Linked DNA regions of Diceros bicornis minor. The protein of the gene in region 1 purifies or fractionates together with the protein of each later gene. This does not show direct contact. Links are inferred from orthologs where the notes say so. Each region holds a gene or a part of one and is shown on either strand. Other genes may lie near its edges. The genes, in order: LGALS1, MET, ITGA4 and FN1.

What was found.
Region 2: the proteins of LGALS1 (region 1) and MET purify together in Homo sapiens (affinity purification with mass spectrometry; 3 studies listed by BioGRID and IntAct, with this or other methods). This does not show direct contact. The link is inferred for Diceros bicornis minor from reciprocal best matches to the Homo sapiens genes LGALS1 and MET.
Region 3: the proteins of LGALS1 (region 1) and ITGA4 purify together in Homo sapiens (affinity purification with mass spectrometry; 3 studies listed by BioGRID and IntAct, with this or other methods). This does not show direct contact. The link is inferred for Diceros bicornis minor from reciprocal best matches to the Homo sapiens genes LGALS1 and ITGA4.
Region 4: the proteins of LGALS1 (region 1) and FN1 purify together in Homo sapiens (affinity purification with mass spectrometry; 3 studies listed by BioGRID and IntAct, with this or other methods). This does not show direct contact. The link is inferred for Diceros bicornis minor from reciprocal best matches to the Homo sapiens genes LGALS1 and FN1.

Annotation. Positions count from the first base shown.
Region 1 is NC_080764.1:12,074,369-12,081,461, forward strand, and holds the start of LGALS1 (galectin-1), read right to left. Parts: upstream 3,009-7,093; 5' UTR 2,912-3,008; coding exon 2,903-2,911; intron 1,649-2,902; coding exon 1,569-1,648; intron 442-1,568; coding exon 270-441; intron 1-269. UniProt on the Homo sapiens protein: Lectin that binds beta-galactoside and a wide array of complex carbohydrates. Plays a role in regulating apoptosis, cell proliferation and cell differentiation. Inhibits CD45 protein phosphatase activity and therefore the dephosphorylation of Lyn kinase.
Region 2 is NC_080742.1:67,624,147-67,631,286, forward strand, and holds the start of MET (hepatocyte growth factor receptor), read left to right. Parts: upstream 1-4,121; 5' UTR 4,122-4,180; intron 4,181-7,140. UniProt on the Homo sapiens protein: Receptor tyrosine kinase that transduces signals from the extracellular matrix into the cytoplasm by binding to hepatocyte growth factor/HGF ligand. Regulates many physiological processes including proliferation, scattering, morphogenesis and survival.
Region 3 is NC_080749.1:61,482,322-61,489,773, forward strand, and holds the start of ITGA4 (integrin alpha-4), read left to right. Parts: upstream 1-4,443; 5' UTR 4,444-4,722; coding exon 4,723-4,919; intron 4,920-5,286; coding exon 5,287-5,408; intron 5,409-7,452. UniProt on the Homo sapiens protein: Integrins alpha-4/beta-1 (VLA-4) and alpha-4/beta-7 are receptors for fibronectin. They recognize one or more domains within the alternatively spliced CS-1 and CS-5 regions of fibronectin. They are also receptors for VCAM1.
Region 4 is NC_080776.1:6,219,823-6,227,785, reverse strand, and holds the start of FN1 (fibronectin), read left to right. Parts: upstream 1-4,950; 5' UTR 4,951-5,172; coding exon 5,173-5,320; intron 5,321-6,255; coding exon 6,256-6,384; intron 6,385-7,312; coding exon 7,313-7,450; intron 7,451-7,963. UniProt on the Homo sapiens protein: Fibronectins bind cell surfaces and various compounds including collagen, fibrin, heparin, DNA, and actin. Fibronectins are involved in cell adhesion, cell motility, opsonization, wound healing, and maintenance of cell shape.

The DNA.
Region 1 (7,093 bases):
CACAGCAGGGGCGACGGCGGCAGGTCACGGGCCCTCCCCGAGCCCTTTCCTCACGCGGCCCTGACCACAGCCCCACTTCACGGGTGAGCTGCTGAGGCTGGGAGAGGGGACAACACTCAGTGGGATCACACAGCAGGTGAGGGGGGAGACAGGAGGGGAGAGGGGGGAAAGGTGGGGAGGGCAGGGTGGGACCTAGGTCTCTGGCCACTAAACCCAGCCCCGCCCCAGTCCCCGCAGCACCCTGCCCCTGGCCCCCAGCCCCAGCCCACCTCCACGACACTCCCGGGCTGGAAGGGGAAGGCCGACTCCCGCTGCTCGGCGCCCCAGGCCCCGCCATCCCTGCTGTTACACACGATGGTGTTGGTGTCCCCGTGCATGTTGAAGCGAGGGTTGAAGTGCAGGCACAGGTTGTCGTTGTCTTTGCCCAGGTTCAGCGCAAAGCTAGGGGCAACAGGTGGGATTGAGGCCTCCTCAGCCCGCTGCAGCCCCCGCGGTCGGCACCGCTCGGTACCCCACTAATACTCCTAGCCAGGAGGACTCCCTTAGCGGGGAGGAGGAAACCTGGATTCTAGTTCTGGCCCTGCCACCTCCTTGTTGTGTGACCTTGAGCAAGTCCCTGCTCCTCTCTGGGTCTCAGTTTCCTCTGCACAATGGGGGCTGCACAAGGCGGCCCTCTTAGAGTCTTGCTGGGCTGACAGCCAAGGCTCTCACAAACATTAGTTTGTGTCCCAGCCCTTTGGGTCAAGGTCGGAGACTCCCTCTAGATGGTGACCTCCGGGAGGGCAAGTGTCCTGTCTGTCCTGTATATCTCTGTACCCCTGGTGCCCGGCATGATGCACGACACACAGTAGGTGCTCAATAACCGTGAGGCAGCGAATGAACAAATAATACTTAATAATACATGTGCCGGGTGGAGATAAGAGCCACGCCCAGCTCCGATGGCTTCCTAAGAATCATATGAACAGCGCACAGGGGGTGTGCAGCTCTTTATCGCGTTATCGGGGTCATCAGCACAGTTATTGAGAAACCCAGCATCTCACTTCCTCTACACAACCACCTCTTGCCCCACTAACTGATTAACACCCAGGATCGGTGTGGTCGGGTGACTGATCCAAGGTCACATGGTTGCTGCTGAATTAATGATGGGTGAAGGAAGGACGAAGGAATGAAAGGTTGAGTGAGTGAGGAACGCAGGAGAGAGGGACCTCAGAGGAGAGCAGGGAGTGACACCCTCCCATCCCCTCTTCCTGTCCCCCGCAGCCTCAGGTCCCGCCCACAGCGGGGGCCGGGGGCCGGGGGGGGGGGGGGGCAGCCAAGGTAGGTGAGGCCGCAGCTGGTTTAGTTTAAGAGGCTCCAGCTGGAGGGAAGGGGGCGACAATGGTGCCCGCGGAGGAATGGTCCAGACCCCGCGGAGGAAGTGACTCATCTGGACAAAGCAGCCTCAGCGGCCGCCGGCTTTAACCCCTTCCCCCTAGGGAGGAGCGAGGCCTGGCGGGCCACGCACCTACCAGATGCGGGGCAGGGCCCTCGGGCTCCGATCCCCCGCCGCCCTGCCTTCGCCCCCTCACCTCTTGGCGTCGGGGGTCACCTCGCCCCGCACTCTGATGCACTCCCCGGGTTTGAGATTCAGGTTGCTGGCGACCAGACCCTGCGCAGACAAGACCACGCCCAGCCGGTCAGAAGACCCTGTCCGGGGTGGGGTGGGGTGGGGCGGAGGTCGTCCCCACCCTGGATCCTCTGACCAGGCCAGCTGGAAGCCTGGAGAACCCGGGTGGCAGTTCTAGCCTCTCTTTCTCTGTGTGGCCCTGGGCAAGTGCCTATTCCTAACCGGGTCGGTTTCCTGTGTGTAACACAACTGAGGTTCTAGAAGCCAAGATCTAGAACTTTGTGCGGTTCAGCTTGGGGATTTTGGATTCAGAGTGGCCTAGGGTGCTATGCCCCATCGCCTCACTTAACAGATGGAGAGAAACCAGATTCAGGGTGAGTCACACTGCGAGTTGGTGGCAAAGCAAGGTAAACGAAGGGGTCTGCTCCTCTGCTGGAGAAGAAGAGGCCTGCAGCTGGGGGATCCCCAACCAGCCCCTTGGAGCCGGCTCCTCTGTGCAGAGAGGTGCAGGGGCTGGGGAGGAGACCCCTAAGGAGCTCTGCACCCTCTGCAGAAGGGGAGAGCCGCCAAGAGCTGGAGTCTGCAGCCTGGCTGGCTCAGGGTTAACAAGATTGAGCCCTGAGCTTAATCAGTGCGAGTGGTTCCTTCTGCCAGAAATTTGAACTCTTTCCCTTGGGGCCTGGAAGATTCTTGCCTCCTTCTCTCTCCCTTAGCTCCTGACCTCCCAGCTTGTGGGAGTGGGTGGTGGGGAATTCCCCCAGCCTTCGCCTGACCGGCCTGGACAGAACCACCCTCCACCCACTAACCCAGGCAGGCCCCCTCCCAGACAGCCTCTCAGATCCTGGCGACTTTTCAGAGCTCTCTAGAGCAGAGGGTGACTCTGCCCTGGCTGGTAACTGGGGACAGCTGCAGGGGGGAGGGGACAGGAGGCTCTTTGGAGTGGAGGAGGAGGGGGAAGGAACAGTGGCCTGGGAGTCATCAAAGTGCCCCCCCCCCAGTTGGCCACACCCTTCCCACTCCCATTTCTCAGAGAGCTGCAGAATGTCAGACCTTGGCAGAAAAAACTGTGCTGTCAGACCCTGGAGGAATCAGAAAATTCTTAAGCCAGAGAAGGCCTTGGGGGACCATGGCGCCCACCCCCATTTTACAGATGCGGCCACTGGGCCCAGAAAAGAAAAGGTACTTGCTCAGGACCACACCGTGGGGACTAGAACCCAGATCCTGATCTGCCCCCACTCTCCCCTGGCTGTCTGCCTCCACCATCCCTGGGCCTTGGGGCGAGGTCCCCACACTCACGCAAGCCATGACTGAGGACTCGAGGATGTTCCTGGGGACTGCGGCACCAGCTGTCTGAAGACTCCACCCGAGAGATGGGCCCTGGGCGGCTCTCGCCCTTTTAACTGGTCCAGACCCTGGTGAGCCCCGCCCCTTGGAAGCTCAGCCAATTGTAAGTCAGGAAAGGGATGGGGGCCACTGGAGGCGGAGTCAATGGAATTCTGAAGCCGGTTCTGGAGCAGAGGTGACCAATCAGAGTGGACACCCCCCCACTCCTTCTTAGTCACTCCTCCAGGGTCCAGGCTCCACCTCCCGTTCTCCTCCATCCCTCCCTACCCCCCCATAAATTGTGCTGTGGTGGGGATTGGGGGAAGCCAATGGAAAATAGTTTGAGGATGAGCTAGGCCCAGGAGTTGGCGGGAAGGGGCCCTGGGGCCAGCAGGCTGAGCTCAGGGGGTACCCAGAGAAGATGGCTGAGGGGGTGCAGGGTCCTTCAGGGAATTCGAGCTGGGGCTCCTGAGGCTGCCCCTGGCAGGGACCAGGGCGTGGCCCGCTCTGCAGACCTCTGCAGAGGCCCAGGACCCATTAACCACAAGGCCCCACCCTGGCCTCCCCCGGAAGCAGGGCTCGTGTCTGCCGCTGTGCTGGGCCCGTGCCAGGCCTGAGGCGGCCGCCAGACTTGGGACTCAGGCCTCGGGCTTCAGCACTTCTGAGGGGCTGGTTGGGGATCCTCCAAGAGCCCCTGCCTGACAGCCTCTGACCTGTCTGAGAGGGTCAGGCCTGGGAGGGGACCCAGGGTGGGCCAGGCCAGGAGGGGTTGGGGGTCCCTGCTCTAGGCACCCCCTGCCCACTCTCCTCACATCTCTGCCTCCAAGGCCAGGCCTTTCCTTTCCCTAACCGGTTAGCAGATATTTTACTGGGCACCTACCGTGTGTCCTGGCCCTGAGCTGGCCTCAGAGGATTCCAAGATGAACCCCTCCCAGTCCCTGCTCAGGTAGCCCATTGCTGGGGCAGAATCTGGCCATGAAACTAACCAAGAACTGGTGTGATGCTGGCTCTAAGGGAAGTCATGAGCAAGCACCACGGTGGGGTGGAGACTGTCCAGAATGTGAAGAAGGCGAGTCTTGAAGGATGAGTGCAGAAGGAGAGACTGGCGTTCCAGCATGGGCAAAGGCTCAGAAATGAGAAAGCACGGGTCTAGGGACTGTGAGCATCGGGGCATGGCTGGAGTTCAGGGTGTGCTGGGGAAAGATGGGGCATGAGGCTGGGAGGCCAGGAGTACCTGGATCATGAAGGGCCTCATTGAGGGGCTTGGACATTGTTTTATCTGAGGGTACTGGGGAACCACAGAAGGTTATAGGGAGGGTGAGTATTGAGGCCAGATTTGGGCTGCAGGGAAGATCAGTGTAGCAACAGAGTTGAAGGTGGGTCAGAGGGGTACTCACCTCGCACCCAGGAACCACTGGGGAGAGGGGCATGGGGAGCACTTGGCGAGGTAGGGGGCTTGCTAGGGGAGTTGTCAATGGGACCTCCTTCTCGTCATTGCCATCCCCCTTCTGAAACTGCCAGCACCGAAGAGGGAGGAAGATGCAGACCAGGAGTGACTCACATCTGGAGGCCAGGCCAGCAAACCAGCCTTGCCCTCCGCTGCCTCCCCAGCCCACCCTCCTCCCGAGGACTGAAGCCCACCCTGGCACAGGAGGAGTGGGGAGTGCACGGGGGGCCACGGGAAGGCCTGGGGAGGAGGCTGGGCCTCACCTCCTGCAAGCCCCTCCCCCCTCCTCCCTTCCCAGCGGGCTGCCTCAGAAACCAACTGTAGCTGCTTCACTTTTCCTCCAGGGCCCCCCCCAAACCTCAGCATAGGCAGGGGCAGGTGGGGCCAGCTCTGCTGCCTTTCCTCCGTGTTCCCCCTCCAAGGGCCCAGACACCCTCTCCATCTGATGGAGAAATGGCGGCATTTCAGCAGGAGTCCTGCCCGGGGACCAGAGGTGCTTCAGGCACAGTCCTCACCCAACTGCCATCAGGTGGGCCTGGCTGGCTGTTCCAGCCCAGAAGTGGGGCTCCCCCGGGGCCCCAAGAGCTGCTCCTCCATTCTTCCCCCAACCTGGAAGACTGGCCCAGCACCAGGAAGTGTTTGCTATTGGATGAGGGGCTGCTTTCTTCCCCTCCAGGGTCCGGCCAGCTGAGGGCTGGTAGAGAGGGGGCATGGCATTGTGAATAGGCCCCCTGGAAAGGCCCCTTTGGGAGTCTGGAGACTTGGATTCTGGTCCTGGCCCTGCCATGCCCTCCCCAGGGCATCCTGGCAAGTTGCCTCTCCCTGCTTGCCTCAGTCTCCCCATCTGTAAATTGGGGAGGTGAAACCCTGCTCTCCTGCACAAGGTTAGTACAGGGTGGAGTTCAGGTCTGTTGTACTCAATAGATGATTGTTTTTTCCACAGTCTTAGAAGGTTTTAGCCTCCCTCTTGTCTGTTTTCCCAGGCTCTCCCACCCTCACCTCATCCCCAACAGTCCCCTCCTGCCTAGGCTGGCAGAGAGTCTCTCCAGATTCTGGGTCCCCTATAACAAGGACTGTGGTTTTCCTGGGGGAGGCAGGGACAAGGTGCACTGTGACCCCACTCCCACCCCGTCCTCAGGGCCTCCTAGTGGTGGCGCCCACTTATCTGCCAGGCCCTGTGCCCGGCGCCGTGCTTTCATACATTATCTCATTTCCTCCTCACCTCCCCGCTGCTTCGTGTCTGCCAACTGGGTTGAACGTCTGCACAGGGAAGCTGTGCAGAAACGAAGCTGACGTTAGAATTGGGAGAAGAGAGGCGAGTCCTAATTTGGGGGTTGCCTGGCTGTGACTGTGGCCAAGGTCCTGGACTTCTCTGAACCGTTTCCAGGCCGGGGAATTGGGAATGTTACCCACTCACCAGCTGGTTGGAAGATTACAAGAGTGATGTGCGGGACTCAGCATTAGTTCTCTCTCCTGTACCCGCCAAGGCCAAGGCCCCCCACCCTGGGGACTCTCCTCCTCTCTCACCGCCCTGCAGCAGAGGCGGCGAGCTCTGTGGAATTCCTCTCTTCTACAGGCTGGTCCTGTGGGCTGGACCTTGGCTGCTGCCGTGAGAAACGAGCTCAGCTCGTTTGGACTGGGGATCCAGGCCCTTCCTAGCCTTCGTCCTCCTGCCCTGCCCGCTCCTGCTCTTTCTCTGTGAAGGCTGCGTCTCCTCCAGCTGGCAGTGGTGGGGAGGGCTGCCAGGCCCACGAGGATACCATCCGCAGCCCCCAGCCGACCTGGCTGGCCTGGCCTGGGAAGGTGGGGGTGATCAGAGCCAGCTCCAGAGTCCTAGAAGTCAGAGCAGGGAGGGACTGCAGAGATACTGCACCTGACCTGCTCCTTCATTTAATGACACAGAAACTAGCAGCAAGAGTGGCCACTTGGCCAAGGTCACACAGGGAGCTAGAGCTGAAGCCCTTTCATCTCCTAAGCCAGGGAAAGCACACTGTGGTCCTGGGGTACCTGGACCTCAAGAACGATCTTTTCTGGATCCTGCTCCATGAAGGGTAGGAAGGACTAGTGGGGGGTGCCCCCAACTTCAGGCACTTTTCCAGCTGGTTTGTGCGAGAGCCCGCCCCCACTTACCTGCTCATCCGTTCTCACCTCTGCCTTTGCTGGTGCTGTCCCCCCTGCCCAGACAGCCTCCTCCTCAAACACAGTGGACCTGTCACTCTCGCCCTCCCACCTGGTGTCTGTCCCCCTTCTGAATACAGGCCGCTGCTTGCCTTTGGGGACCCGCTCTTCCTCTCATATGAGGTCTGGGCGGGGTCCAGACTCTGTCATTCATTAGCCCTCCAGGGCTCAGGCATGAGTCCGTTCTGTTTTTTTTTTTTTAATATTTTCTTTTGAAATAATTATAGACTCACAGGAAACTAAGTGCTTTTTAAGAGCTTAGAAAATATTTGAGACCTGAGGAAAAAAATGTATTGGCTCCAAAATACTAAAATTGCAGAGCTGAAATTCATAAATGTTTACTGTGCTCCAACTTAAAACTTGGTAGTCATAAAAACTGTATTACATTCGAAAACAATTTTGTAGGTTGAATTTACTTACTTTGAAAGTGTCCCACGTATTCCTAGAGGTTGGTCACCCCTAAATTAGATCCCCACAGCCAAATAACGTCTAAAACAAAAGTATAAAAGTACCTTGAGGGGCTGGCCTGGTGGCGCAGC
Region 2 (7,140 bases), on another chromosome or scaffold:
TTTAGATAACTTAACATTGCATGTTTTATTTTTAGAGAGCCCAGCCACAAGCAAATGACCAATACAAATCAACATAAAAGTAGTTCATATTGCAAGAGCCTCATTCTAACCCTTTGTAGCTGGCATTCTTTAAGACAAGGTTTCCCAAAGCATGTTACCTATTAAACTAATTTTACGGAAAATGGCTACTGAAGATGTTATGAGGAAAAAAAGGCATATTTTCGGTTTAGCTTTGTTCTGTTTTGTTTTTCCCTGTGATTTTTCAGAATCTTCAATATTCTAATGTGCATGATGTATCTCTAAAAAGGGTAAGAAGAGTCCTATATCCCCAAATTGTATTTGCCCACAGAAATGATTTGAGGAACCAGCACCTGAATAATTCTTCTTGTCCTTCTGTGGAGACCTTTTCCACAGGCACACTAATAGGGGCAACGGGGCAAGGGAAGGGAAGAGAGTAGAGCGAGAGAATCCAAGAATAAATACTCTAAGACAGGGGTCACAAATCCTAACACCTACAGGAGAAAGTGACGTCAAGATCAGAGGTAGGCGGGATGCATTACAAGAGAAGATGGGATGATGGCAAACTGCAGAACATATGTTCTGTCTATTGCAATTCAAACTTTTAAAAAACATTCTGTGGGCCTAGGCAAGTCTCTACAGGTTGCCAGCATGAAGCCCCTGTGCTAAGAAGATTTCTTTCGTTTCAAAAACAGTAACATGTGAACAAACTTAGAGTACCTTCAAAGATCCCAATTTTAATGTGTTGCAGGGAGAGCAGAAAGGATGTGGCATATTTAGAGCGAGACACTGCTGCTCCTCTCCCCTTTGACCATGGCTACCATTAGGCCATCTCAGGGTTAAGAGATGGGATCTTGCTTATAGTTGAGCACTATGTCATCCACAAGTGTGTAGATAAGGATAGCTCATGTCTTTCAAGCACTTATATTTTACCAGACACTATTCTATGTGCTTTACTTATAGCTCCTCATTTCATCCTCACAATAATCCTATTATCATCTCCATTTTACAGATAAGGCACAGAGAGTTTAAGCCACTGGCCTATAGTTACATAGCTAGCAAGCAGCAGAACTGGGCTTGAAATCCAGGCTGTCTGGTTCTAAAATCCACACCTTTAACTGCTATGCTACACGTGGAGATGTCTTGCTCCTCATTTGAGGGGTATATCAGTTTTGAATGCTTTTGGCCACAGACGACAGAAATCCCAGCTAACAGTGTCTGGAACAAGTATTTTTCTACAAAACAAAATCTGGAAGCAGGTGTCTACTGGCATTGGTGCTGTCGCTCAGCAGTGTCAGAGTCCAACTTTTCTCCTCATGGTTGCAAGATGGCTAGCTCTTTGCTGAGCATTATATATGAAATCAAGAACGCAAGAAGTGAGAAGGGGTGGCACCAGCTTATTAGGGAAACTAAACTCTTTTCCAGAAGTCCCCAATAGACCTCAGCTTAACTCATCACCAGAATGACATCACATGGTCATGTCTGGTTGCAAAGGAGTCTGAGAAAGCAAGTATTTCTCCTTTCCAGCTATAAGAGTGGAGGCAGGCAAGGGAATATCTGGTTGGGAACAGGTGCTGGCTTAGCCAGCCAACAATGTTGGCCACAGGGGTTTGGTTTGGTTAGGAAAATACCAACCGAACTTCATCATACAGTGTGTCACCCATGCCATGGATCCAAGGGAAGTTAAACAGCAACAATTAAAGTTGGCCACAAAACCAAAATTGAATTGTAGAACTCCTATGACCTTTTTTTTTTTCTTTTTTTGCTTCTTTCCTTTTCCAAATATGTGAAATTACTTTTAACTCTTTTCTGGATCAAACCTATCTAGGTAGTGCGTAAAAACTAATTATTTGATTTTCATACACTCAGTTACTTTTAGTTATGCTATTCTTAGTTATGTTATTTTTATAAAATATTATCTCCTTATTTATAATTAATAAATCAAAATGACAATTCTTAATAAGTTTCAAAATTGGACTGAAATTTGTCAGTAACTAGAAACTAGGAAACCAGTGCTGAAAATATATAATAGGTTATTTGGATTTATAATCTATTTTATTTTCCAGTTTGTACTGGATTTTCTGGGTCTTTCTACCACTTTAATTGTAATTTTTTTCTTTTATATTTTTATCATGGCACTCAAACTCAGAAAACCTGTTAAGGCAACTACATAATGCAATCTAAAAATCCAGTTAACATATTGCTATGGAAACCAGGAAACAGAATCAGCACTCTAACCATTCCTTTGGACAACTATGACTAATTATGTGTGTGTGTGTGTGTAAATTCATTAGTTTATTCACCTTTTATTGGAAGTTGGTACTGAACCCCAAAACTATAATTGACCTGTCCATAAATAGGCCCAGGGCCCTCCAACCAGTCAATTAGCATTTTAATATGAACCCTAGTCATTGTTAAATTACACCATGTGATATTAGGAAATCTTCAGTAGGGCTGTGTTGTTTATTTAGCCTTCCCAGGCTGTGGCCTCTTGGCATGTTGTGAAGAACACCTGACTGGGATTTGAGAGCTGGGTTCTAACCTCTCCTCTTCTACTAACCAGCTGTGTGACCCTCACAGGAACTCTCAGGCACTGAGTTTCCTCATCTGCAAAATGGTTCAATGCAGAGTTCTAGCACAGTATTATGTAACGGGAACTTTCCTTTTCCATAAAATTGGGGAATCATGAGGTAATCACATTTGAGGATGGAAACGGCTCTGTGTAGTCCCGGGTAAAGCGCCTGGCACATAGTAAGCTCTCAGGAAAACGGTAACTGTTCTTACTATATTTTCCTATTTTTCATTCTGTAGTAAATAATTCCTGAACCTACACAGTCAATGTCGTTTTGTCCCATGACTGTCAATAACTACCAGATGCCACTATCTGACAAGCCCTTCCCAGAGCCAGAGAGGAGAATGCTAAGTCCTAATAGGCAACGCTCTTCCTTAGATCCTGTTACCTTTGAGTGTTTATTTTCTCTTGAAGGTTAATGTCAATTTTTATATTCAGACATGTGAGATATAAAAAGTTATCCTGATACAACTCACCAAGGCCCTAACACCCTTTTTTTTTTTAAAAAAAAAATCGTAAGATTTCAACATTCAAGAATTAAACTTTTGTTCTGTTTTGCTTGTTCCTTGATGTTTGCCTAGTTATTTAATCAGCCTGTTTCCTGCTACAAAAAAAAAAAAAAAGTGATAGTGAAGTTTCATCAGGGTTCAACTCCTGTGTTGTTCTTCCTTCCAGAAATCCGAGTTATTATAGTAGAGGATAATGGTTGCATAACGATATCCTTGGGACAGTTCGTCCACCCACTCCCACCTCCGCCTGGACAATGAATGCCTTGTTTCCGCGGCGCCCTAACCGTCCTCCCCGCCGGGCAGCGCCCGGCGGCCGGCGGAGCCGCGGGAGAGGCTCCGGGCAGAGCCTCGCGCTTTTCCCGCCGGCCGCGCGCGGGGGAGCGCGGAGGGGGCGCGCCGGGGGACGCTCGCCGCGCGAGCACCAGGAGGGGGAGACTCGGTGCCGCTTATCTCCGGTGCTGCAAACTTCAAACTCCCCGAGCTGGGGGAGGAGAGAGCGCGCAGCCAGGGCGAGGAAACTTCTCCACCTAGAAAGTTTCACCTTGCCGTGGGCGGGGCGGGAGGAAACGCGACCCCCGCGGGGCCAGGCGCGGCGCGCGGGCGGCAGGAAGGGCGGGGGCCGATTTCCCCCTCTGGGTGGTGCCAGTCCCCACCTCAGCGGTCCTCGGACCGGCGGACGCAGCGGACGGACAGTGCGCGAGACAGACAGACACGTGCTGGGGCGGGCGGGCGAGCGCCGCGGTCGGGTCGCCTGGCCGTGCCTCCCGCCTGGACGCGCCCGGGCCGCGCGCGCCGATGCCCGGCTGAGTCACGGGCCGGGCAGCGCGCGGGTGGGGAGGGGCGGAGGGAGCGCGGTCGGCGAGCCGACGGGGCGCTCGGCTGGGCCCGGAGGCAGGTGACCCGGAGGTTCTCGCCGCCCGCAGCGCCCCGAGCCCCGAGCGCTTTGTGACCAGATGCAGAGCCCAGCGGAGGGCGCGAGCCAGATGCGGGGCGACAGCTGACTTGCTGCGGGGAGGCGCGGAGCGCGCCGGTGGTCCCAGCGCGGCTGACTTCTCCTCCGCCGGGTCCTGGGCGCCGCAAGGTAAAACTGCAGTCCGCTTCAGATCCCGTACCCACCCCTGGCCCCAGCGCTTCTCCTCTCTTTGTTCCCCTAAGAGACCTGACTGCTGTTCCAGAGGACGAGACCGGGGAGGTGGGCGAGAGTTTAGGGGCTTCAGAAACTGAAGGACTGTGGCCAGGGGGGAGTCGAAACTAGAATGGGGCTTTTCGTTTTAGGGGGTTGCTTCTGACGGCCACCTGTATGACTCAGGAGAGAGAGGGGCGCAATACATTGCAACAGGGGTTTACATTAGATGTACACTCTGTGCTTTCAGAATTAGTGGATAAGGTTTGTCTGAATGATAAAGATGTACACAGATGACAAGATTAAACCACAGCCAGTCAGAGGAGAGGGTGATGTATGACTGTTATGGCCGGGCAAGTTTCAAGGCTGTGATCTGACTCAGCCCTTACAAAGGGGATCCGGTCACCCAGTCCCAGGGTGATGCAGCCGGCAAGGTTTGAGCCGCAGAGCGGTTTCCTTGTTCCTTGTTCCCAACCCTGCTTTATCTGTATTAGTGGGTGGGGGTCCTTCCAAGGGGCAGGTGTTTCTGTGAAGGTCTGAATTCTTCATTTCTAGCAAATACACAGGGCTTTGTGATCCATCATTTTCAATCGTACCTTCTCTCTTGGCTGGGACTCTGTGGAGGACATCTATCTTATTAGGTGAAATAGATTATAACCAGCGGTCGGCAGTCTGGCTTGTACTGGTACTGACCCAGTAATTAAAGCACCAACCAAAGTATTTTCACCAGCTATTGCCAATGCAGAATTTACTCCCAAGTACGGTTTCCCATTTCATACCTTTTATGTTTTAAAAGAGTCATTTACTAATTTGACAGTTGGAGAGGGTTGCAGTGGCTCACACATGAATAGTTGCCCAGTGTATTTTACAATTTAACAATTTTATCTTCAAAGGAGCCTTGGGGCAGAATGAAATATTGTCAACTCTCTTAGGCAAAATAATCAGGATACTTTAATTGCCAAGTTCAAGATGGTCGATGAATGTGAGAGGATTGTAAAAACTGACGTTGGAGAGAATATAGACTATCTGGACCCTCTCCTGAATTTTAAGAAGACTGTTAACGTTGTGTAGAGTTGGGTGGAGGTTTCTCCTGTCATTTTCATCAGCCAGACACATGCACATTGCCATGCAAATGGATTCAGAAAAACATTATTTTCCTTTACAGCTAAACTATTATAGCTGACTAATGAATTTTTTCTGCATGAGGATGATCTGAAAATGGTGTACATCATGTTTCTCTTTGCTACTGGGACATAAATTGTGCTTTTATGTAAACTGTAAGTGGTGCTCAGATTATTTACAGGTGCATAGCTTTCCTTTCCAGCTCTGAGCTTACTGGGCTTTGTTTTAACATGTAACCGTCCGTAATGGAACAGAGCTGAGATGCTTTGGTTCCAGTCATAGACTGCAAAAGCCTGTGGTGTATTCAGTGTTCATTCTTTTTGGGTTGCTGAATAAGACAGGTGAAATTTACATCACTCATAAGAAATTTTTTGTTGTACCAAAATTTTTTGTGTCTGATTGCCTATAAAATATACTGGTGTTTTAAAAATTCTGTTCGTTTCGAACTTGACAGTGCATAAGCCTGTAGTTATTAACCTAAGTATATTTTGATTTTAATATGATGGAATTTATGGCATATAGAAGATGATCTGCTGACTACTGCTTTTTCTAAGATTGCTTTGTTCTTAATACTTGCAGTAGAGGTTTACATTAGATGTACACTCCGTGCCTTCAGAATTAGTGGATAAGGTTTATCTGAATGATAAAGATGTGCAAGATGAACCACAGCCGGTCACTATGAAAGCTCGTAACTAGTATTTTCATGACTTTTAAACCTACAATAAAAGAAAAATGTTACTTTTCTAAGTGGGGGAAATACTCTTATAAATTCCTTTAAGACTGTATGTGTATGTCCCACTATAATCTTGAAATTTTAAAAAAATTTGTTTTAATGAGGGTTAGATTAAGAAATACATTTCAAAAATCAATTTCCTTAGCTGTTGATTAAAAAATAGTCCAAAATAGCATTAGTCTAAAAAATAGTCCAAAATAGCATTAGTCTAATTTTCCTTTTACAAATGGGTATAATAGCCTCAAACAAACTTTTTCTCAAATGTGGTCATCTCAAAACAAAGTGAATAACTCAAAAGGTCTAACATCCTCTCAGGACGCACACTGTTCTCTAAGTGGCTGCACCAGTGCCTATGGTGACACACCCATGGTGTGTACACAGCTCCCTGCACGTTCAGAGTAGCTCCGGTCTCTCTGCCCCCTTCCTCCTCATCCCTTTCCCTTGGTTTGGTCAGAGCTGCTTCCAAGCCCTTCTATGCTTTTCTCCACTCCAATTTCATGGTTTCTTCGCTGTCATTAGGCTTAATGCTTCTCACCAGACTGTCTATGCTTTCTTTTCCCACCATCCATAATATTCTGTGTTTGTTCATGGAATCCCGAATTTCTTAATTGTGCCACCTTAAGGGGATTGAAAATATGCGGAAGCTCAAGGGCTGGGCATGTAACCTCCTTTACTTCCCTGGTGTATGTTGAAACTGGTGTCTTTGACTCTGAGCCTTCAGGGCAGAGTTTCTCCAAGGGCTTTGCTCATTGCAAAATAGTCACCTCTTAGTAATAAATGGTAGGTATACTGACTGATGTCAACTCAGGATCACTTTGATTCTCTGTTCTTAACAGACACTCAGTTGCTGCCAGGCCCACATTCGCCTCACCAAAAATAGCTAAGAACTGTATGTTGAGCGTTCTATGTGTTTGGTACTAGGGGAACATTTTTTAAAAGGAAGAAATGAAATCTCTGCCCTTGAAGAGTTTAAAATCTAGATATACAGATAAATATCACACATAGAAACTGAACCAAGATCCATAATTATTAAGGGGACATCACACATATTTAATTATTAAGG
Region 3 (7,452 bases), on another chromosome or scaffold:
TATTGAGCACCTGCTGTGTGCCAGGCAGCATATCAGGTGCTGGAGATATAGTGGTGAACGACAGCTACAACATAACCCATGTGTTCTGCTCTTGTATTCTAGAGAGGAAGACACAATGAAAAAGTGAATACATATATGATTATACATTAAAGAGCTCTGAAGAGAATGAACAGGATTGTTTGTGAGAGAACAATATGGTGACCCATTTTAAGTGGATGGGCAGGAAAATCCTCTGTGAGGAGGAGACCTTTAAGGTGCGACTGAAGAGAGGAAGCATGGGAAAAGTCAGAGGTGTGTCCAGGCAGAGGGAACAAGATGGGCAAAGGCCCCGAGGGTGACAAAATCTTGATGCACTTGAGAAAATCAAGCAAGGCCGATGCGGCTAAAGCAAAGTGATCCTGGGGGAAGTGGTCAATGGTGAACAGGCAAAGCAGTCAGAGGCCAGATCGTAGAGTCCTTGCAGGCCACGTTAAGTGTGGTCTGTATGGGAAGAGCAAATGGGAAACTATTTAAAGGATTCAAGGGAGGGAGGGGCATGCATGATTTGATTTAGAATTTAAAAGTTCACTTTAGCTTCTGTGTAGAAAATTGATGGTGTGGGCGAGGGATGAGTAGGTAGCAGATTGTTGAACAGCCCAGACAAGATTACTGCCCTTGGAAGAGGGTGGTAGCAGGACAGAAGAAGATAAATAGGTGATCTTGAGATATATTCTGGGGGTCAAATTGATAGAACTTAATGATTGATGGATTAAATATGGGGAATAGGGGGAGGAAAGATCAAGGATTTTTCCCCAAATATCTGATCTGAACAACTGGGCAGATAGAGCGCTATTTTCTGGAAAGTGAGAGATTGGGTGGAGACATAGTTTAGTCGCAGGTAAGGAAACCAGAACTCAGTGTTAGATATGTTATGTGCACAGTGCCCACTAGACATCCAAGTAGAGACATCGGGTAGGCAGTGAAACATAAGAACCTGGAGCTCAGAAGAGAGGTCAAGGCTGGAGACATGGGTTGGCTACTCACAGTGGTATCTAATGGTATTATGTAGCTAGTATTTAAAGACACGGAAAATGGGTTAGATCTCCTAAAGAGGGAGGAGGGAAAGAGAAGGAAAGAGGGCTCAGAAGGGAGACCTCAGGCTTTCCAACACTTGTGGTGGAGAAAAAGAGCCAGCAAAGGAGACTCAGGGTGGCCAGACAGAAAATGAGGGGAGCTCAAAAAAGGCACTATCATGAGAAGAGAGGCTTTCAAGAAGGAGAAGTGCTCACTCTTGATAACAACTGAGAAGTTGCGTGAGCCCATAATAGAATCCTCTCTACTGGGGAAAACTTCCTACCAAGGATAGAAGCCACTTGTGTTTTGTCTTTTATTCTTATTTGAGTCCTTTTTGCAGCTCCTGGCACATAGTGGGCACTTGATATATAGTCGAGCGTCACTTAATGACGGGGATATGCTCTGAGAAATACATTGTTAGGCAATTTCGTCACGTGAACATCATAGAGTGTACTTACACCAACCTAGATGGTATAGCCGACTACACACCTAGACTATATGGTACTAATCTTAAAAGACCACCCTTATATATGTGATCCATCATTGACTGAAACGTCATTATGTGGCACGTGACTGTATATTAATCAAATGACACATATTAATTGAATGAATATTTAAGTTCAGTTGAGGGTGAGTCATAGGCATAAGTAGCTTTTAAAAGTCCTCCTCTTCTACACCTTCATGCCACACAGCCCCACACCCAGTTGTCACACTTGCCTACAAAAGCATTGACTAGAGAGAGAGCAGTATCTTCAGGCTTTGTGAAAGCAACATTAAACATCCTTTATTCTTACGGACTTAGGAAAAGTGAATTGTTCTCTAAGCCTTGAGGGAAGAAAGCTCAGGGCTAACACAGCATGTGAGGTAGTAAAGGGTGGCTGTTTCTGGAAAGGTGGTGAAATCATAACCATAACTGCAATCGTAGAAATAAGGTCCTGCCCCATCAAGAGCGCTACTGGCCGCTACTCGTCTTAATCACGCTATGAGAAAAATTGTGTTGAGTAGATTTCATTGTACAAGATCTTGGTGAAGGGAGGGAAAGAAAGAGGTAGGGTTTCAAATCAGTGGCTCTGACATTGTCAGAGTCTGGAGGGTGTGGGAGTGCCTTGATATACCTGCTTCCCCGGCCTCACCGGGAAATTTTGTGGCTGCAAACTAGAGGGATTGCTTGTTTCAGAGTGATGACAATGTGCTCGAGTTGTAGAACTGGGTTGAAATCAGCACATAGATCTACTCAGAAAGAAATACACCCTAAGTGGAAAAACAGAGCAGGACCATTCCCCATGGGCCCCAATAGCTACTTTTCTGGAAGCCATTTCCTTTTTACAATAGATGTATCACACACCATTATCTGACTTTTACTTTGTTGCAAATAATGAGAGGGTTACCTTCCTCCTGTTTTGTGTGTTGACAAAAGAGTAAAAATAATTGGGTGGGGTTTGGCTAGAATATTCCATAAACATCTCAAACTCCACCTGTCTAAAACCTAATTCATCAGTACCCTCCATCTGTACACATTCACACACACACACACACATGCATGCATAACCTCATTCCTCCAGTGTGTTTTTCTCTATGAATTAGCAACATATACCCAGATCCCAAACTCGGAACTTGGGCATCATCCTGACTCCTTCATCTCAGCTCTTCATTGGTATTTACCAATACTGTCACCGAGTTCTGTTGGGTTCTATCTCTCAGATATCTCTTGAATCTATATTTCCTCTATCCCTTCTGCTCTTTGCTAGTTCAAGCCACCGTCATCTCACTGCTCATGACTGCAGGAACCTCCAAAATTAGGTTTTCTGTATTCAGTCTTTTCTTCACACTTCTGAAAACCCACAGCTGACCAAGACAAATCCTTGAACAGCTTCCTGTCAGCCCCAGGATAGAGTTAAAAATTCCTAACCTGGCTTAAGAGGTTCACCATGTGTTCCTACTTCCCTGCTCAGCCTCCTGTCATGCTAACCTATGTGAGGGCAGCTCAATGCTCCACCAAGACCACCTCTTCCAGTTCCTCTACCTGGCCCTGCTGAGCCACACCTCACTCCTCCTCTCAAACTGCTTAGCCTAACTCAGCCCTCCTTGTCCTTCAAATCTCTAAGTGTCGCTAAAACATTCAGAACTTTCTCTAGTTAGTAAAACTTTGTCTCTCTACCACTTGGGTGAAAATTTTCCTGAAGGCTTCTCCTGCCTTCTTCACTGTGGTAATCTGTGGGCCTAGCAATGTGTCTGCTCAATGAATGTGCTGAATAAATGAGTATTTTAATTATGTGTCTGCCATTACAGCTTAAGACGTGCTATTTCAGTATCGTTTTAAGGCACACACACACATTCTTAGATGAACCCTCTTTCTTTCTTCTTTTGTGTTTTCATATAGCAATAATTAACAACTGGACCTGCATCTCCTGCAAATATTGGCCTAATCATCTAGGGCTGTCTCTCTGGTTGTTCTAGACAGCAACCTGAGCCACGTCTGGATTTCATTAGGATGCGAATCATCGCCCAGGTCAGGTGTATTGTGCTGTGGGTCTCCAGTGCATTTTCAGAGGCTGATTATGGTGTCTGTCTCTTGACCTCACACTGGGTGTACACCCCCGATGGCAGGTGTATCCGGTGCAACTGGGTGGATGTGTGGAAACGAGGAGCATTGAGAGCCTGAGAGAGGAATCCGTTGAAATGAGGCGAGTCACAGTGCTTCCTTAACCCAGCCTCGCTGTTGGACCCAGCAACGGCCTAAACCGCGTGCCATTCAGCCTGAGCGCGGCTGGTCTGCCTCCTCAGGCGGGCAGCCTGGATTTAAGAGGAAGTGTAGGCAGGAAGGAAGTGGGCATAGAAAGGTGCAGGGCTCTGAGTCTTGAAGTGAATAGCCATAAGGTCTTTGTCACCAAAATGTTCCTCAGGGAAACTCAGGGAGTTCCTTTTGTTTGTTTTTAATTTGTGCCCCCCCGGTTAATGTTTCTCGCGGTTGCTTCCGTCCCAAAAATCAGATACAGCGCTTAATTATCAACGTAAGATCGGATGGTTCCCCGCCGAAGTCTCGGTGCTCGGATTTGTAGCTGGCCTTTGGGCCATGCCGGGCAGGCCGCGGAGCCTCTGCGCTCATAGTGGGGTGCGCGCGGTGTCGGGTTGGGGCCACGCCGCTCCGCATCCAGGCCGCAACCACAGTTAAAAGGCGAAGCCCCGGGCCCCTTTCAGCTCCGCTCTTGCAAAGCCCCGGGAGCCCCGAAGCATCGCGCTCAGCGGGCTGGGAGGCCCCGGCCCGAATGCGCGTCCCGAGCAGCCAAGGTCCCCTAGCGCCCCCTACAGCCGTGCGCGGGGGCAGACGGCGCCCGGTCCTGCGACTCCGCACCACGCCCGGGACCCCACCCAGCGGCCAGCGCCCCGGGACCGCGCGAGCACCCGCACCTCCCGATTGCAGAACCCAGGCGTGGGGCACAGAGGGCGGGCGGCATCCAAGGCAGCCCCCGATTGCCCCGCCCGCGGCGGCCAGACTTCCCCTCCCTCCCTCCGTCCCTCCCTTCCTCCCGCCCTCCTTCCCCCCCGCCGGCTGGCGCCGGACACGCTGCGCCTCTTCTCTTGGGGCGTTCTTCCCCTTGGCCGACCGTCGCATCCCGCTCAACTGGGGACAGTGGCCGTTTGGTGTTGAATGTTTCCCTCCGAGAGCGCATGGCTGGAGAAGCGAGGCGCGGGCTGGGCCCCCGAGGGGCCACCGTCCGGGAGGCGGTGATGCTGCTGCTGTGCCTGGGGGTCCCGACCGGGCGCCCCTACAACTTGGACACCGAGAACGCGCTGCTCTACCAGGGCCCCCCCAACACCCTGTTCGGCTACTCCGTGGTGCTGCACAGCCACGGGGCGAACCGATGGTGAGTGGAGTCGGACTCGGGCGCTCTCGGCATCTCACAGCCGGCGTGTGAAGGGCTCCTCAGGGATTCCCTGCCTGATTCAAACTTTCCCCCCTCTGGAGGAGGCGGAAGGGGAGTGCTGCGACGGCCAGCTCGCCAGAGATCTGCTCTGGAAACTAACTTATCTTGGGGGTAGCAGCGCCCGGGGTGCGTTCTGGCGCGAGGCCCTGGAGCTGCGAGTTACGGGTGGCTGGTTGGGTGCGCGGGGTGGTGGGCGGAGGAGGAGGTGAGGGAGCGGCCCCGCTGCCAGCTGCATGTCTGTTGAGACCAAGAATTCAGTGGGCAGCACGGCTCAAGTCTCCGCGCACGTGCACATTTCTCGCTTTAGGCTCGTGGTGGGGGCGCCCACGGCCAACTGGCTTGCCAACGCTTCTGTGGTCAATCCCGGGGCGATTTACAGATGCCGGATCGGAAAGAATCCAGACCGAACGTGCGAACAGCTCCAGCTGGGTGAGTTGGGTCTGGGACCAGGAATGAATGACCTCCCACTTGTGGACCCCACCGTAGCACAAGTCCTGGAAGACCTCAAGTTGCCTGTTACTTCTAGTCTAAAGCGAATGATTTTCACTCTTAACTCCACCCCATCTTTCCTTCTTAACATAAAAGTGGCTTCCTTCTTTCTGTCAACATTTTTCTCCCTTTTGCTTATGACAATGATTGCAGTACCCTGACAAAACTATGTAGAGGAAAGTTCCTTACGATACATTGTCTATCGCCTCTTCCTCTCTCCTCCCGTGTGTAAAACACGTTTTAAAGTCTCTCAGCACATTAAGGACAGGATCCAGCTAAACCAAGACTTAAGAATTTTATTTCCATCTTTGACCTATTAACCTTGTTGAAGAACAGGCTAAGGGGCAGATCAGGACTAGCAGTTGGAATTGATCCCACATCCTGTCATTTAGCCTAAGAGCTTTCTAAAAAAGAAAATGATATAGCTTTACTTAGAATATGAAATGTAAAAAACGAGCACAAAGGAAAAATTGGCATCTCCATTGTTACTAGAATTATAGTGAGGCTTAAGGTATAATTATTAATTTTCCTGTCCCAAAACTCTCATGTTAAATGATACCTCTATTCACAGTCATTTCTTAGTGCCTCTTCTTAGATTTGTGACAGTTTGAAAAATGTGTTCTGATGGGGGAGGGGGGAAAGTTCATGTTTCAAAGCTAAAGCAAAAGCAAATTTGCTTCTCTCAGACACTGGGGGGGTCGGGGGAGTGGAACGGGAAATGGAACTAATGTCAATTCAGACCTATCTTGTTCCAGACACTGTTTTATTGCTTAAGTTTTTTTCCCTCAAAGCACCACTGGGTCATGATTGGCATTGTTCCTGCCCCACGTGAGGACTCTGTGACTCAGAGAGTTGCAAGTACGTTTTCTGAAGTTACTCAGCTAGTGAGTGGAAGATGGTATCCCAAGTCAAAGTCAGGTCCCCTTGGGTCTATAGTCCAAGTCCTTTCCCCTCATGTATGCATTTTCAATGCAAATAAAATTAAATGAAGAGTCCAATATGTTGTCTGCTGAGCTGATGAGTCATCTGTAAATTGTGAATAGGAGGTCACAATTGGTACTTTTTTCATATTTATCTTTGCTATCAATGGACTTTTGAGATTAGCTAGTAATTGCATCTTTATCCCCTTTTTCTTTTTACAAAGTAGTCTTTGCTTCTTCTCAAACTGGGAAGCTGGTTCTCTTCATTTAGAATGAATTCAAATAGAGTATGCACATAATGGAATTTTTATTTTTAACTCAGAGAGCATCCATAAAAGTCTAGGAGTTGTCTGTAGCATGTAGAATAAGCCCCAGTCTCTCATTAAGCGTCTTCCATCCCAAAAGACAGACTAGGAAAGCACAACATGTTCTCAGACCTATCCATTTAGAATAATTCTGCAAAGCATAATTTACATTGCATGGGAGGGTTGTGGGATGAAGAATTAGGGAGGGGAGCAGACAACTTTGTTCTGCCAGAGGATCTTGATGAGATCTCCAGAGGGAAAAATTTCATTTCTGTTGTCCTGTCATAGTTTCCTATCCCTGACATTATAACTACTGTTATTTAGCCTCTACTCCCTGTCTGGAAGGGCACTGAATCAATTTCTAGGTGTCTGTATTTAACTGGAAAGATCATGTCATAATATTATATAAAATTTAAGATAATTGTGCCTGTCAAAAGTGAAGGAAAACCTAAATTCTTTGGGCATGTGGAGCACAGAGATTGACTACAGAAATATCCTCAGAGAAATGTGAGCATGGTAGATGTGCAACAAACATGAATTAAGTGAAGATTTATTGGATAAATGAATACAAGCAAAGTGAAAGTTTGATTGTCATTAGCCTGAAGGGTGAATAAAAGAACTAATTAGAAATAGCAAGCCAAAGTGATTTTTTTTAACTTTCAAATTTTTGGTCAATAAAAAAGGTATTTACTGAGATGAAAGGCAAAAAGGAAAACAAGATTTCTAGTCCATCAACTGGTTGAAACATAAGAGCTGTAG
Region 4 (7,963 bases), on another chromosome or scaffold:
TTTAGCCAATTGCTTTGCACATACTTTCATTCCGGAGGGAGTTCATTAAGTGATACCACAATTTCTACAAGGCTGGTGGTTCAGAAATCGTCATTCTAGTTAGTTTTCTAAGCCTTGTACCCTCATCTATGAGAGAGAGAAGTTGAGAGTTATTTACCTCAGAGGATTGTTGATGGTTGAATGAAAAAATGCACTTAGTACTTAGAATATAAAGCACTTAGTACTAGGTCTAGCTCAGAGTAAGTGCTTGATAAAATCTAACTATTTAACTGTATTTCTCTTCAGGTACTGAAATCTTTATGACCTGGATCACACACTTAAGCTTGCCTTAGCTTTTCATGTTTAACATAGTAATGGTTTTAAATGTCTATTCCATCTCAGTAATATTTTCATAGCTAATGAGAGAATATATCAAATTTATCTAGATAAGAGTTCAACATACAGTTAGAGATAAATTCGATTATATTTATACATGCATGTTTATAATTCAGTTAAATATAATACGAATATCCAGTTGAATACAAGTTAATTTATTATAACTAATTAATCAATCAAAAGGCTACTATTGACCACCTATATCACAATAGCCTATTGTTGGCATAACAGTTTACTTAAGAGATAATGTTTATGGTTATTTTTAAGCATCTGACACAATCTTCATGATAAGCTGCATATGAGACACTGAAATTGTGTGAATGTAAAAAGGATAGAACATAATTTAAACACTGGAAATCTTTCAAGTTTTTTAAAATTTTTTTTCAGCCTTTCAAAACAAACCTTTAAAGCCAACAACATAAAATAAAGCAAAATTAGAAAAAGGAGCAAAACACAAAAATAAAATTTTTCCTAGAAAGTGCTACCTATCTTGGAAAGCTGGAAAGGTCTAGAACACAGTTTTGGTGAAGTGTTCCAGCTACACAGTAGTTAGTTTCATTTTACTGGATGAATTAGAGTCCTTTGCAAAGCCTTTTGGGAGTTATGTCACTCTAATGAGAAAAGAATACTCCTGTTAAAAAACAAGGGGCGTAGATTAAGGCTCTCGAAAGTGCTGATTAAATCATAAAGTAACTCAAATATAAACAAAATGCTTATTAAGTGAAAACTGGCTAGACATCAAGGCATAAATTAAAGCTGTTATCAAGTATTTTTTCCCTGGTTTCAGGAGCCCAGTCAATTCTAGACAAACTGCCCAGACATTCTACCCATGAGGGCTGCCGGTGGCGGGGGGGGGGGGAGTTTTTTTTTTCTCATACCTGTGCTTAATGAGTAGCAGTTTTGCAAGCTTGGCTGTTTTCAAGGGAAGAAGATGGGAAGGATTTCATGCCAAAAAAATAAAGTCAAGATAAGAAACAAAACTACTGTAATTTATCTCCATCCAACCTACCTACTGAGACCATGCAATAGAACAAGACACTACAGGCTCTTAAGGTCGAAAGTCCAAAGGTCACTTAGTCAATGGCCTCCCCTCTAACAGGACTGAAAGAGATTAAGAACAGGATAAAAGCTAAAGGTTTTCAGGAAAACCAGCCCACTTTCGTCTAAATGTAACCCTCAGGGTCAAGAAGTTATTTCTTATCAGGGATAAGATTTTTTTCAATAGGCAAGGGATTTGGCTAGGGAGGGGTATTGTCTGTAATGTGTGTTTTACTCCTAAAGGAAACCCATTTTTCACTTGGAAAAAAATTGCCTTTTAAAACTTATCCCTTAAATTGTTTTAATTTCAATCCTCTTTAGATGACTGGATCTGATAAATTCTTTTTGTGCTTAACCATAATCTTCAGCTCAAGTGAAGACAGTTCAATTCAGATTTCTGTAATTTCTCATTCTCATTAACTTCTCCAAGAACAAAACATCCAAATAACACCCCCACTCCCAATATACACAAATATATGTGCTCCTTCTTGTTAATGAAATTTAACTTGTCTTAAATTTTGGAAAAATCCTATTGCTATGGCAATTCCAAGAAAAAACAAGGCACAGTCCTAGATGCAGATTTGTTCTCTCTCCACCACATACATGCCATCACACAAATACTAGGTTGGGTAAGGAGTTACTGGTATAGAAGAAAGATCCACTACTGTGTTAAAGGCAAACTTCCTCTTAGAAAAATGAGGAAATGAAGACACCTTGTGTATGCTGCAGCCACTTGGGAGCAAGCCCTTGGAACAAAATAAGCAGGTGATACAAATCAAAAAGAATAAAGAAATACCACCTTATAATCAATTTTTTAAAAACAATTTTATTGAGGTATAATTTACATACCATAAAATCCTCCCATTTTAAGTGTACAACTCAATGATTTTTAGTAACTTTACCAGGTTGTGCAGCCACCACCACAATCTAGTTTAGAACATTTATTTCCATCACCCCAGGAAGATTTCTTGTGCCCATTTACAGTTAAGTCCTGTTCCCAGCCCCAGGCACCTGGGAATCTACTTTTTGTCTCTTTTGTCATGTTTCCCTCTCCAAATAAAGATAAGAAAAAGAAATCCAAGGATATTTCCTACAAGTAAAAGGCTACTGTTTACTTAGGAACCCACTCTGCCAAATAGTCTTCAGGATTCTTGGACACTAGGCAAGCCAGTTGAGTCGGAACAGAGTCATCGTGGTCTTTAAGATTTAATTCTCTCTGCAGGTCGAGAAAATAGTCTTACACAGTTACAAGGAATTTTGATAATGAAAGAATACTGTCGCAAGCCTTCTCATCTTAACTAAGAAAATGTTTCCATCTCCACACTTTGAAAAAACTTTCAAGTAAGAGGGTAAACTTCGAAGCATTCCTAAGAAATTCAGTCAAATATTATTATCTTTTTGCTTATGAGACACTAGAGATATAACATTTCCTTAAATTATATTTCAATGAGATTGAAATATAAAAGTTTCTTCTGAAATGTAAGGTGAGCTTTTTTCCTCCAAGTTCTCATAGGTATTTATCCTAATGTATTTTGAGTACAGTAAATATATCAAACTTTCATGTTTTTGGTTGGGAAAATACTTTTGTAACCACTTATTTCCTTCCCCCAGAATCTATGTATTTGAAGAAAGCTTTAGCTCCAGGTTTATCTTGCTTACATCCTGATTTCCAGGTATCCTTGCCTGTGGAAGGAACACTCAGCTTCCCAGAAATTTACTAAGAATTTTACAAGGGGCCCTTTTATATGTGAAAGAGAAAACTGTTTTGTCAAGCGAGGATGAGAAATTTAAAAAAAACTGTAACCCAGACGGGACTCTAAATTTGGGGAAATCCGTGGCACTCTTTCAACTTGAAATGTTGCTCACAAAGATTCCTCAAGAAGTTATTTTACACTGCATGTAGGAAACTGATATTTGCTGTGGGTTTTTTTTGTTTGTTTGTTTTAATTCCCTGCATTAATAAAAACACATGTTAGTTTTGTATCTTTAATGTGTCAGGCATTTTATAGACTCTAGAGTTCGAATTACCCCAGGGCAGTTACTGAAGGTGGAACTTTTGGAGAAAAGCACTTGCAGAAATAAACATTTTGCTAGTAGCTTTCGTAAGTTCTCGAAGCAAACAGGAGGTCTGCCCTACTAACATAAATCGAAGGCAAAGCTTTGAGTTTGCTTCTCTCAGGAGTTACTGAAGAAAGTTGTGGACTCCTTTTAAATATCTTTAAAAGCAAGTGTGACTTGTGTTTGCCTGAAAAAAGGCTAATGTGACGAGTTGCTAAATGCTAGAGACTTCTCATATTCCCTTTCGACCTTCTGAGTTTAGAGGGAAAGCGGGAGAAATCTTAAATGGGAACTTTACACGTTCTTGGAGTTAGTAACGATTGAAATATTAAAAATCTGGCAGCGGGGCTGGGGGAGGGGGATTCTGTGATGAAACTGATGTCTACCAAAAAAAATGCCAAATAAACGCAAGAAAGGGGCTGCAGGAAGGCAAGACTGTATACGGTCTGTCTCAGTTTTTAGTGAGTCACACAGGATCTCTGCATTGTGTGTAACGGGCATGGTGAACAGGGACAACGACTTGAAGATCTTTCTCTCTCCACGGACTGTCCAACTTCCCAGTTTCCCAGTCCACGACTGACTTCACTTTCAGTGGAAATAGACGTCCCATTCCCAGGAAAGGAAGACTTTCCTGCATGTTCAAAAAAGCAAACTGCCGCTCTGTCCTTTCAAGAGAAACCCCAGAAACCCCGTTCTCTGAACTTTCCCCAGATCCGCCAAGCGCCCCGCAGAACTCCTGGTATTTAGTAGAAGCTCATTAAAGGTTGGTTTTTCTCCTCTGCCCCCCAGCTAGCACTTCCTCAGAACCGGGCAGGTACAGCGTGTAGAAGGAGAAAAGTCTGGAACAGGGAGCTGTGAAGGCAAAGAAAGTGAGTCCCAAGTCAGTGCACATTGGACCAAAGAGAGGGAATGGGAGAAAAGCCAGCCCCGCCCCGGGACTGCCAAGTCTACATTCCTACAGCTGCAAGGTGGTGGCTCCTTTATGGTTTTCCTTCCCCCAAAATACACTCCAGTGAGCTGAGATTTTTGTTGAGATGACGCAATGTCCTCAAACCCCCCTCCACCTCAAGAAAAAAGAAAAGGGAGCGGGGGGAGGAGGGGAAGACTTGCAACCCCTTCGCTTCGCCCAACTGCAGCCCCTCCCTTTCCTCCCAGTCTACCCCTTTCCAGCCGCTTCCCATCCCTCCGCCCTCAGCCCCCAAAAAGTTTGACGACCGCAAAGGAAACCGAAAAAAAAGTGGTCTTGCCCCGGTCCTGGCGGGCGATCAGCATCTCTTTTGTTCGCGGCGAACCCGCAGTCCCCCTGACGTCACCCGGGGCCCGGCCAATCGGCGCGCGGGCGGCGGCGGCGGGAGGAGGTGGGGGCCGGGCCGGCGCCCCCCCCCCCGGCGCCCGGCCTCGCGGGGGGCGGGAGGGGACCGGCCCATATAAACCGCGGCCCTCGGGGCTCGGCCGCCCGCGCCGGCTGCGCTGTGCAGGGGGGGAGAGGGAGCCCCGGGCGCGAGCGAGGAGGGGACGTGCAGCCACGACTTCTCTCGTCCTCTCCTTCCCCTCTGTCCCTCTGCGCGGCCCCGGCCCCATCCTCCGGCCCCTGCCCTCTCCGAGCCACTGGAAGGGACTCCTCCCGCAGGTTGCGAAGGGAACCCAACTTGGTGGCAACTTGCCTCTTGGTGAGGGCGTCTCTCCCTGCACCGTCTCAAGATGCTCAGGGGTCCGGGGCCCCGGCTGCTGCTGCTGGCCGTGCTGTCCCTGGGGACGGCGGTGCCCTCCACCGGAGCCGCGAAGAGCAGGAGGCAGGCTCAGCAAATCGTTCAGCCCCCGTCCCCGGTGGCTGTCAGCCAAACCAAGCGTGAGTACCGAGCGCGGGCTGAAACGGGCTGTGGCACGGAGGGGACCGTAGAGGCGACCAAAGTTGTGGCTGAAGTTTGCGCGCGCGCGTGTGTGGAGTGTGTGCACGCCTTCAGGAGAGAAATCGGCTGTGGATACAAAAGGCTCTTGGTTTGAGCCGGCTGGTTCTGAATGCATTGGAGGACAGGGGCTCTGCGATGTCCTGCAGGGCTCTCATCAGCTACACGTTCAGGTCGTCCTCCTGTGATTCATCAAAACTTGCCTTTAAAGCGAAAAATGCTGTATGCCTTTGAATTTTCCAATTGGAATCAGCGTGGTCCTTATGCTTCTTATTTTCTTTGTTACTAAATAACTGGTCAAATATTTTCAAAACCAGGGAAGAGGGTAGCTAGATAGCTATGTGGTTCCTAAGTAGCTTGAAAGAGATGTAATTGGTTCAGATTGTTCAGGGGCCCCTCAGGATACTTCTCCAAGAACAGAGATTGGAATTCCTCTTCCAGTTTTTTGAAGACACACCCTCCCTATGCCTTGGCTAAAGGAAACTGCTTCAAGTTGTCCTTTAAAGAGCACTGAAGTTCCTTGCATGTTTTAAGATGTAATTCCAGTTAACTGCTTTTCAAAATGTTCCACTCCTTTGATGTAGACCCCTGGCCAGATGGAAGTGACATCATTGTATAACATTTAGCTAAGTTAAACCGGGGAAAAAAAAGGAATACCTAAATGTGTACGTGTACAAGTTGTGGTTAACTCTTTAGATAGCTTGTTTCTATATCTATATACTAGTGGAATATTACTTTTAATTCTCCTGGTGCTCTATGATTAACTTATTTTTCTGTTTGTTGCTTAGGCTCATCAATTTAATTGTACAAGCAAATTCCATAATTTGGAAAAAGGGGGAATGCAAATGTAATATGATTTTCCTTCAATTATTTACAGCTGGTTGTTACGACAATGGGAAACACTATCAGATAAACCAACAGTGGGAGCGCACCTACCTGGGCAATGCCTTGGTTTGTACCTGTTACGGAGGGAGCCGAGGCTTTAACTGCGAGAGTAAACCGGAGCGTAAGTGGTGGCGAGCCTGGTAGTTAGTATCTTTTAATAGATGGAGAAGTGGTGCTTATTAATTAAACTTAACATTAGTAGTAAAAATGCATACACCATTTTCCCAGTAGAATTGTATGTCATTTCCTCTTTAAAAGTGTTTAATAACTGCTTATATTTGCTTTTCACATGTTCCTTTTACCTTTAAAACAAAAGAATAAATGTATCCCAAAGTAGTTCCTAGAGTCTTCTTTTTGTTTTACTCTCCCAAAATTTTTGTTGAGAAAATGAAAGATTTTGTGTGTTCTCCTTCAAAAAAATTGCTTATAAAATTTTAATTATTAGAAAGTAATCTCAAATCTTAAACTGTAAGATTCTGAGCCAGAAAACACTTTGGGTACTCTATTGTAAAGTGACTTGTCACACAAAACCACTAACCACTTCAAAGTTCTCATTCCTTTATGACCATTGATGTGTTTCTTGTAAATTATAGCACATCCTGCGGAGAAGCCCTGAGGAGGCTAAAATGGAAAGAGTAGGATTAGCAAGTGACCAGGCTTGGTGGGAGGTGGGGCTCTTCAAACTGTTTGCTTTTTGTGTGGACCTTCGTTTGACTTTCTGAGTCAGAGACCAGAATCTGAACCATAATCTAGACCATAATCTAGCCTGTCCGAAGGGAGTATGTTATATGGCTTTTTTCTAAGGGCCTGAGAATCCTATACAGTAGAAATTAATGTACAGATAATTAGAGAACTTGTCAAAGCTCAAAAACTAAGGCTTTATTAGAGCCTAGGATAATATCCAGAACTCTCACTTCAATTTTTTATAACTTTCCGTTGTCCCATACTACTCCTGGAATGGAAAAGTGGGTTTTCCTTTGGATGGGATTAGTGGAATAGGATAACTTGTACGTATGTGAGGCTCACATGGACTTGCCTTCTCCCCTCAGCTGAAGAGACTTGCTTTGACAAGTACACTGGAAACACCTACCGGGTGGGCGACACTTATGAGCGCCCGAAAGACTCCATGATCTGGGACTGTACCTGCATCGGGGCTGGGCGAGGGAGAATCAGCTGCACCATTGCAAGTAAGAAAGACGTTCTGTGAAACGACACTGAGATGCCATAAATGGGGATTTCTCTATTACCGTCCCTGTCACTTTCTATTATCCGTGACTGGATATTCCTAACTTTGGGTGGCCAGATACTCAACGTGGTCACCCAGCTGGTTCCTGTGTTTCTGGCAGATGGCTCTGAGCACAGGTGGAATCAGTGTTTAGTCTGTGTGGATTTATGAGTGTGTGTGTATGTACATAGTGTAACCAAGTGGATCTCCTGGGTTCCATTCCAGTAAGACGTGCTTAGAGGAGCTGCCCATTTTACATTACCTGGGCATCAAGCCAGGGTGATCATGTGGTTATCTGCAGTGATTGGGAAGATGGTTATGAAGAGTGACTTCGCCCTTGTGTGGTCTGCTCTTCTTGTTTGCAATGCAGAGACCTCTTGCATCTCACAGAAACGGTGGGGTTTCATTGTGACCAATAGTTTATACCTGGAAGCAGATCTCGCTATTCCCGGAGATAATATGGAATAATTAGCCT